2 linked regions of the Coturnix japonica genome follow. The protein of the gene in region 1 purifies or fractionates together with the protein of each later gene. This does not show direct contact. Links are inferred from orthologs where the notes say so. Each region holds a gene or a part of one and is shown on either strand. Other genes may lie near its edges. The genes, in order: plasma membrane calcium-transporting ATPase 4 and NPTN.

Evidence for each region.
Region 2: the proteins of plasma membrane calcium-transporting ATPase 4 (region 1) and NPTN purify together in Homo sapiens (co-immunoprecipitation; 3 studies listed by BioGRID and IntAct, with this or other methods). This does not show direct contact. The link is inferred for Coturnix japonica from reciprocal best matches to the Homo sapiens genes ATP2B4 and NPTN.

The regions. Positions count from the first base shown.
Region 1 is NC_029541.1:4,878,237-4,882,615, forward strand, and holds the start of plasma membrane calcium-transporting ATPase 4, read left to right. Parts: upstream 1-1,551; 5' UTR 1,552-1,686; intron 1,687-1,793; exon of another isoform or gene 1,794-1,921; intron 1,922-4,379. UniProt on the Homo sapiens protein: Calcium/calmodulin-regulated and magnesium-dependent enzyme that catalyzes the hydrolysis of ATP coupled with the transport of calcium out of the cell. By regulating sperm cell calcium homeostasis, may play a role in sperm motility.
Region 2 is NC_029525.1:1,550,698-1,554,502, reverse strand, and holds part of NPTN (neuroplastin), read left to right. Parts: intron 1-2,387; coding exon 2,388-2,559; intron 2,560-3,805. UniProt on the Homo sapiens protein: Probable homophilic and heterophilic cell adhesion molecule involved in long term potentiation at hippocampal excitatory synapses through activation of p38MAPK. May also regulate neurite outgrowth by activating the FGFR1 signaling pathway.

The sequences.
Region 1 (4,379 bases):
CCGTGACAGTGCCCAGGTTTCATAGTAAGGGATAACCATGTCCAACCCCTGAGGAAAAAGCAGCACCAAGGAAAACAGCAGTGATGAGCTCAGGTCCCTTTCCCTGGTCCTGCTGCAGAGAACTGGAGCAGTTTGTTGTCTTCCATGTAGAGTCCCAGTGAGATGCTGTGATTGTGCCATGCCTGGTGCTCTGCATTCGTTCTGCTGATTTCAGATAACTGTACCTGCTTTGCAACCTGGGGTTCCTGCAGGGCTGCAGGTTGCCTATTGCTGCATGCAGCTGCACAAGCGCAGAGCGCTGCCCTGAGAGCTCGGCAAAGAGATGTGGACACACAGGGAGGAATCCCCTTGCCAAAGGCCCAAAGAGGAACCCCCCCCAGGACTGTTCAGGAATGCAAAGTTATTGAGGCGCAGCCCTCAAGGGCAGGGGTAAATGTTACAAGTGTTAAATGAGGGCTTGTGCACGCACAGATGTTACACTGGTTTGACTTGAACTGGGTTGCATGCCCAAACAACAGGATTAGTGCTGAGTTAAGGTTGCCTACACCCAATATTACACCAGCATAGCTGCATCAATGCCGTGTTACGTTTTCCTTGCAGCCACAGCATTTCCAGGGCTTCAGTGGAGTTTCAATGCATACTTTTTTCTTTGCTTCTGTAATAAAAGGGGGAAGGGTTGGCTCTGCCTGGACAAGGGGCTGAGATTCATGCTCTGCACCTCAAGGAGCAGCTGTACCCCTCCTGGGTGACACCACCACCCCACGCTGTAGGGACAGCAGTGGCTGTGCCCTATGAGTAGCAGGGTGGGGCACACCCCCCCGTCACATGTCACCAACGACAGTGACCACAAGGAACCCCGAGCTCTGCTCCAGAGATTTTGTGCCCCATGCTCGCAGCAGGAAGGACTTTCTGTGCATCCTGTTTTGCAGTGACCACACTGCCAGGGGAGCTGGGGGGTGTCCCAGATGCATCCATCATGAGGGAGCAACTTACACTGCTCGAGGAAATCTGTACCACCACAGCAGGGGTGCAGTATGTGCAGAAGGGGGTACACAGATTTTGGGGGTGCAGGCACAGCGCTTGGTGGTGCGTGCACTGCACTGCCCAAGGGAGGATCCGCAGTGCCAGGAGTGCACACAATGCCGCCCTGCAGCCGCGCACCCTGGACGTACCGCTCGAGGTGGGGGGCACACACGGACCACCGTGCTTGGAGGGGGGTCCTCTGTCCCCACGGGTTCGTGCACCGCTTGCAGCTGCTCCACGTGGGTGACACTGCACGGACACCCACCTCCTGGGTGTACATCTGTACTGCTCGGGGGTTGGTGGTGGGGGTTGCCTATGGGGAAGCCCACGACGTATGGAGGTACACGTACCGGCACCGGGGTTCACCTGTACTACTCGACGGTGCTTCCTGGGGTAGAGGGGCAGTGTCCGCGGGGTGCACCGATACCGCCCGAGCACGCACCCGCCCCGCAGCGCCCAGGGGACGCAGCCCCGCCCGCCGCCTCCCGTCCCCCTTAAGCAGCGGACGGGGCGGGCCGCCACCTTAAGGCAGCCCCTCCCCCGGCAGGCCCGGCCCGGGTTGCCATGACAAGCATTTTCTCCCGCTAGCTCTGCAGCCGCCGCCGCCCTCCTTATGGCCGCCCGCGGGGGCTCCGCCGACAGTCGGGACGGGGCGCCGCGCCGGTGAGTGCGGGACCGAGGCGGAGGGAGCGAGGGGGGGGTTAATTCCCAGGGTGCCCCTTTGGGTGGGGCGGGTGTAGGCGGCGGTGCTGCCTTCGAGGTTCCGTTGGGGGGGAGCGTCCCGCGGAAGGAGCGCGCGGGTTTCGCCTTCCATAACGCTGCAGCTGCTGCGGGGTCGGCTGTTGGAGACAGTGGGGGAACGTCGGTTGGGAGGAAGGACACGGGACCGGCGCAGCAGGTGGGAGGGAGCGGGGGGACGGGGAGTTGTTCTGCCGTCGGAATCTGGGGAGCGTGGGGGCCACGCGCATCTCCCGGGTCCGAGCGGATCGCGGAGCGGTTCGGGGGGTGGCCGTGACACCCCGGGGCTGTGCGAACTCGGGCGGGGGGGAGGGAGGCGGTGGGGAGGGGGGAGCGCTCCGGCTGTAACAGCCGCCCACCACTTGTTGCTGCCCTTGGGAACAACCCTTGGGGGAGCCGGGGGAGGGGGGGGGTTGCGCGGCGTTCCCGCGTGGCAGAGCGGCGTGGGGGGGGCGGGCGCAGCTCGTGGATGCGGCCGTGGCCGGAGGGAAAGGCTGAGCGGGGTCGGAGGGGGAGCGCCTTGCGGCAGCCCGAGGGCAGCGCCGGGAGGTTCCGCAGGGGCGGCTCCTCCTCGGCCCGGGGCTGGGAGCCGCTCCCCGCCTGCGGCAGCGCTGGGTGGGGCAGGGGCTGCGGGCACGGTCCGGGCCGCGGGGGCTGCACGGCCCCCCTGTTCCCGGTCGTTCTGCATGCGGGCGGGGAGGAAGCGAGGGGATGGACAATGGGTTATTGTCCTCTTATCTCCGGAGACCTGAGGGCGGGGGGGTTGCTCGGCTCGCGGACCTGTTTGCGCCGCGGGGCGGGGCACCTCTCTGCATTCCCCCCCTCCCGCCCCCAAATGGGCGCAGCGCTCCCGGTAACCGCTCGCGTTGACTGCGCGGCTGCAGCCGCTGCGCTCAATGTGAACACCGAAACGCACCTGAATCGTTAAGCAGCGAACGAGCGGGGCTAACTAACACCCCCGGCTCTCCCCGCTCCCAGCCCAGCTCGATCCTTCCCCGCGGGGCGCAGCCTCCCCTGAGCCGCCCGCCGCTGTCCGGAGCGCTGCGCTCCGCGCTGAGCATCGCCGTATCCGCTCGTGCGGCGCTCCGGCCCCGGGCTCAGCGGCTGCGGGGAGGGACCGCTGCGCGCTGCCATTGTTGTGCGGCAGAAGGCAGCAGGGTGGAGCCGTGAGTGAGGAATTCCCCCTTCCCCGAGGCCTTCCCTGGCTGCTGCGGTGCCCCGGGAGCTGCGTGCACCCTCTCAGCTTCCCTTGGTTCCCCGCGTTCTCCCATTTTCGTTCTCTCTCTTAATTAATCTGTGCATATATAAGTATATCCGCGCGAGTATACATATGCATAAAATTTATTTCCCCTTGCTGTGCCGTGAGCACAGTTTGCTCACAACATTTCCACCGCCTGTTGCTGCAGTGCTGTGAGCAGCCCGCAGGGATCTGCTGCCCTGTGCTGCAGACGCTGCTGCTGCTGGCTGCTCCCCCCAGCCTGGATCCCTCCCAGCTGTGTTCTGCAAATCAGTGCTGCTCTCTGAGCCATCTGGAAGCTGTGCTGCTCAGCATGGCTGGAGCGATGGATGCGTATCCATAGGGGTGGCTGCTGCAGTGCATGGAGGTGATGCTGTCTCCCAAATTCCTCTGCCTTTTTGGAGGCTTCTGGGATTGGATCCCAGGGATGTGACATGAGCATGGGATGCTGCTGCCTGATGGCTGGTTGAGGTGGTGGAGGCAGCGGTGTCTCTTCTGTTGTACAGGTGGAGAATTGGTGCATGGAAAGGGAAATAAATGGGACTGGGTGAGCAAGGAGAGGGAGCCCATCCCTCTTTCCTCTCACTGAGCCAGTGGGCATCAGTCCTGTGGTGATGGGGATACTCCTGGTATAAGAAGCTCTGAGCTTCGGGCTTAAGTAGGATGGAGCACCTCTCTGCATCCCTGCTTGCAGGGTCAGTGTGTGCAGAGCTCCTGCAGTAAGGAGGGGTTGCAGCCCCGGCCTGGGGCTCCTGGCTCCTCATGCCCAGTGTGGGGCTGTGTGGGAGCTGCATCCCTGCCACCTCCTGCTGGAGCTTCCTGAGCTGATGAGACATCCTACTTTGATGTTTTAATGAGTTGCTTTTGGCTTTAATGCAGAAGAGTAATAGAGTTTCCATGGTCTTATAGACCCTACTTCTATATTTGTTAGTTGGAAAAGGGGGAGGGAAGGGGAGGGGGAAAAAAAAAAGGAAATGCTTGGCACTTGTAGAGTGCGTGGCACACTGCTGGTGTGCTACCCACCTGTGTCACTCACCAGGACGGGACTCCCTGACGCTCAATGAGCTCAGTGAGACACTGTGCGGCGTCCTGCCCTGGGGAGCTGCTGAGCTTTGCTTGCAGGAGGTGTGGGTTGTGGGGCACGAGCATCCCTGTGGCACATGCAGAAGGACGCGGGGACCCTGGAGTGGCGTGCGGGGTGTGGAGGTTTGGCAGTGGTTTGTGCTGACGGAGAAACTTTTCCTTCCGTGGCAGGGATGAGTCGGCAGTGGGCTGGGAACCAGCGGAGCTCTGGCATCCACGGGTTGTGTGAAAATCTCTGTCCCTGTATTATTTTTAATGTCCCAAGCGTGTGTATTCCCACCTACTGAAGTGATTGGGA
Region 2 (3,805 bases), on another chromosome or scaffold:
AGTGGGTTTTTCCTCTCTCAGGCCATTGAAACTAACCTCCTCTGGGGACTGAAGGCTAACCTCTCGTTTTCCTCCCCAGTTCATGTCATCTCCTTGCATCTGCTGCTACTAATTCTGGATTGTGTATCGTGACTTCATTGCTAAGTGCCTTGTGACTGGTATAGTTATTCCAATTCACGCTTGTGTGTGGGGGAAGAAGTATTGAGCTGAATATTTTAATGGTTTTGCTCTGTGACATTTTATGTTGAGAGATGTGACCTACTGTTGTTTGGGAGGCAGAGCGCTTCGACATCAAACTCCTGCTGGATACAGATAAGAGGAGAAGCTGACTTCCAAGAGGATGGGGAGCATCGTATCTGACACTGCCCCGAATGTCTCCCAGCTGTATTCTGTGTGTGAGCACAACCTGCCTCCAAAACAGGAATTTTGGCTAAGAGGGGCTGGAGTTTCCAGCTGTTGGTGCCTGGTTTGCTGTGGGCTCTGTTTGACGTCAGCACCATGGAAAGAGAACGGAACATCAGCTGGATCGAAAGAGCAGAGAAGTGCCACTTAGTTTTGAAAGTTAGCACCTAAGAGCTTGATCTGGCTTCAGTCTCATGACTGGTTCGGATAATGAATTTTGCTTATGGGTTATTTTACAACTGGATTGTACATAAAACAAGCAGTGCAAATGATAGATGTGTGAAAGAAACTCTTGCATCTTGTTCTTTCAGTTTGACATCTTTGGTTGTCACTGTCCCAGTGATATTCCATGTGCAGTTTGTCTTACAGAGCTAAATGAAGTTAGAACTGCCTGAATGCTTTCATTTATTACAAACTAAGATAATATAAACGCAGGTCAAAGATGTGGATGCATTTGACTTCAGTCCTCTATTGTACTTCAGAAAGTTGTGGGTTACCTGTGAGAAGTGTCAGGGGGGGAAAACAACACAGCTACAGTAGCAGCAGTTTTTCCATGGGTAAAATGGGAACTGTAATTTAAATAGCTCTGATTTGTGGCCTACACACTGAAACAAGGAGAAAAAGGATATTCAAGGCTTCCGCGTGGCTCTGTCAGGTTTTCAGGAGGTAGATAATTTTTTATGCCTGTTTTCTGGGCAATAATCAAAGCATTGTATTGGATAAATGGATGTTTTATGCAATGAAAATTAGTGTTTTTTTGACAGGACTGCTATTTCCCCCTCATCATTCCATTAAGTAACTTGTTTTCCAAGTACTTGTCAGATGAGTATCCAGAAGGCTGCTTGGGTATGACTACATTTGTATTCCAAGTATCTTATGGCAAGGCAAAGGGGGAAAAAAACCCTCCTAAAAACAATTAAAATCCTTTGCTGACATGCAAAAATCACTGAGATGTTCATTATTGACCAGCTTCACCTTGCACTGTGCTGACCCAGCTGCAGAGCAGGCGGCTCTTGCCTCGTTAACACATTCAGGTATTTCCATCAGAATAATGGAAAGAATCCCGCAGTCTCCCTAAAGCTTTGTCATACTCTGTTCTATTTTATTTTTAAGTGAATGCTTGTAACTGTGAGCCCTGCAACCTGCTGCAGCCAGCAGGGAACACCACGTGTGGTCTCATCATGAAATGAGACTCGCTTTTTTCATCATAAATGTTTATGGTTCAGGTTGCTTTAAAAACCTGACTCCAGTTTAAACATCGTGTATATTCCTGTATTTTATTCTTAAGCATTAAGGCCTGCTTTCAGCTGTTTTTCTTCAGACTCGTGTCCTATTCAGTGGGTGTTTGGTCTCTTTCCACATACAGGAGAAGCTGCTCTGCATCTCTCTTGTGTTGAAATGTAACTAAGCTCACATGCTCCGCATGGCTTTGTAATTGCAGAGCGATGCTCATGTCTGGCGTGGAAAGATGGGCAGGTGCAGACAGGATAGATTCCTTAGGTAGCCATTAGAGTTTTATTATAGTGAAATGTTACTCAGAAGATGTGCCTTGGGGGGCTGTTCTCTGTAGAAAATGGACTTGTTTTAAATCTCAGCGCGAGCAGAGGCGGAGTTAATAGCCAGATTGAAGATGCTTCCAAAGGAACAGCTGATTTCTTGTGTGTATGCCTTTGGGACGTATATTTACCTGTTCCTTGTTCAGCGGTGTTTAAAGATGATTGAGCTGCACTGAAATCTGTAGCAATGTTACCAACTAAAATGAATATTTTTTTTCTTTTCCCATATAGGGGAGCTGATCCGTAAGGTGTTGCCTTTGCTCTGGTGGTCAGCTGTTTTATTGTGACTTTCTTGATGTCTCCCAAATTAGTGCAGTGATGTTCCTCGTGTAGTCTCTTTTCCTTTCCCTTTCCTCCTTTGAATTTTAGATTAGCGTGGCACATCTACCAGTGAAGATTTCTTGCTACTTAATGCCTTGTTTTTTCCAGAGCCAAGGATCAATGCCAGCGAGGACGTAACCATCCAAGTTTATGGCCAGGCCGCCATCACATTACAGTGTAACCTCACCACCAGCCCCAGCCCCCTCTCTGCCAGCTACTGGGTGAAGAATGGAGAAGAGATTCCTGGCACTAGAAAAACCTCAAACACTACAGAATACAAGTAAGTCTCCTTGGGAAAAATCTTGTGTTATGTTGGAGAATGCCAAAACTGGTAGAGTTTAAGCTTTGGAGCTGCTGTTGGGATCCTGAGACTCAAACAGCAAGCCTTGCTTTCCTTCCCTTCCAGTATATTGTGCTCTTATCTCTGTCCTGCTTACATCTACCTGAAGATGAATTTTCAGCTGTGCACTTCTGTTGTACAGGGATAAATCACTGCAGCAATCAGCTGGTTTAGTCATTTCCTGACCTTGGAATGTGAAGAACTGTTCTCTGAGTGTTGTCAGGGCAGTACTTTGAAATGATACCAAATCTTGACTAAACTAGCAGAGCTCTATCACGTGCTTCTTGTCACTGTATCGGTATTTTCAGCATTAATGTGTTCCACGTGTGTGTGCTCCAGATTTTTATCTACTTCCCATCTACGGATGTGGAGGAGAGCAGAATGTATATGGCCAGCTCTTCCATTTCTCTGTAGCTTGCACCAAGCAGAAATCCTTCCAGGGTTCCTGCACTCCTGACTTTCTAGACATGGAGTTGATGAGAGCATAGAGAACGTGCTCAGTGATGCCATCAGAGACCTGTCCTGTGTATGTGGTTTCCTTGCTGTTTTCCCTCCCAGGCTTTCATTTCCTTCTCTTGGAGCTAGAATGGATCTCAAGCACAACCTTCTGTTCAGTGCTAAGCTAAATTGGGAAGCACTTAGGGAACATCTTAACCACCTGTGGTTCTCTTTGGAGAAACAAGACCAGTTTTGAGCCTCCTTTTTAGCTGTTACAAGCGCCAGCAAGAGGAGCAGGGTAATGCCTACTGTATTACAGTGCATCTGCTCTACTGTGCCTTGTCTGCTGTGTGCTTTCCTGGCTTCTCTGTATTTGCTACAGTTCTGTGGGCTCTTTACTGCACAAATGGCACAGAATTAAGAAATGCTGTAGGTTTCCATTGCCTTGGCAAGGTGAAAATTCACCACGAAGTTATGGAAGCTGTACTTACTTTTGACGAAGCTGTGTTTTTGTTCTTCTGTTTTACTTTCCCCTGCAACCCACCTTGCATTATTTGTTTGGGTTTTGCAGTTAAATACCCTAGTTCTGTAAATAGATGCTGTTAAATACATAACCACATACTCATTGTGGCTGTGTCTGAGATTTAAAGGCTTTGCTTTATCTAGAGTTGAACTTGATGAGCAGCCTTGTACAAAAGCACCAGCTGGAGTGGTGAAAAAGGCACATTGCATCAGGATAATGGAGGCT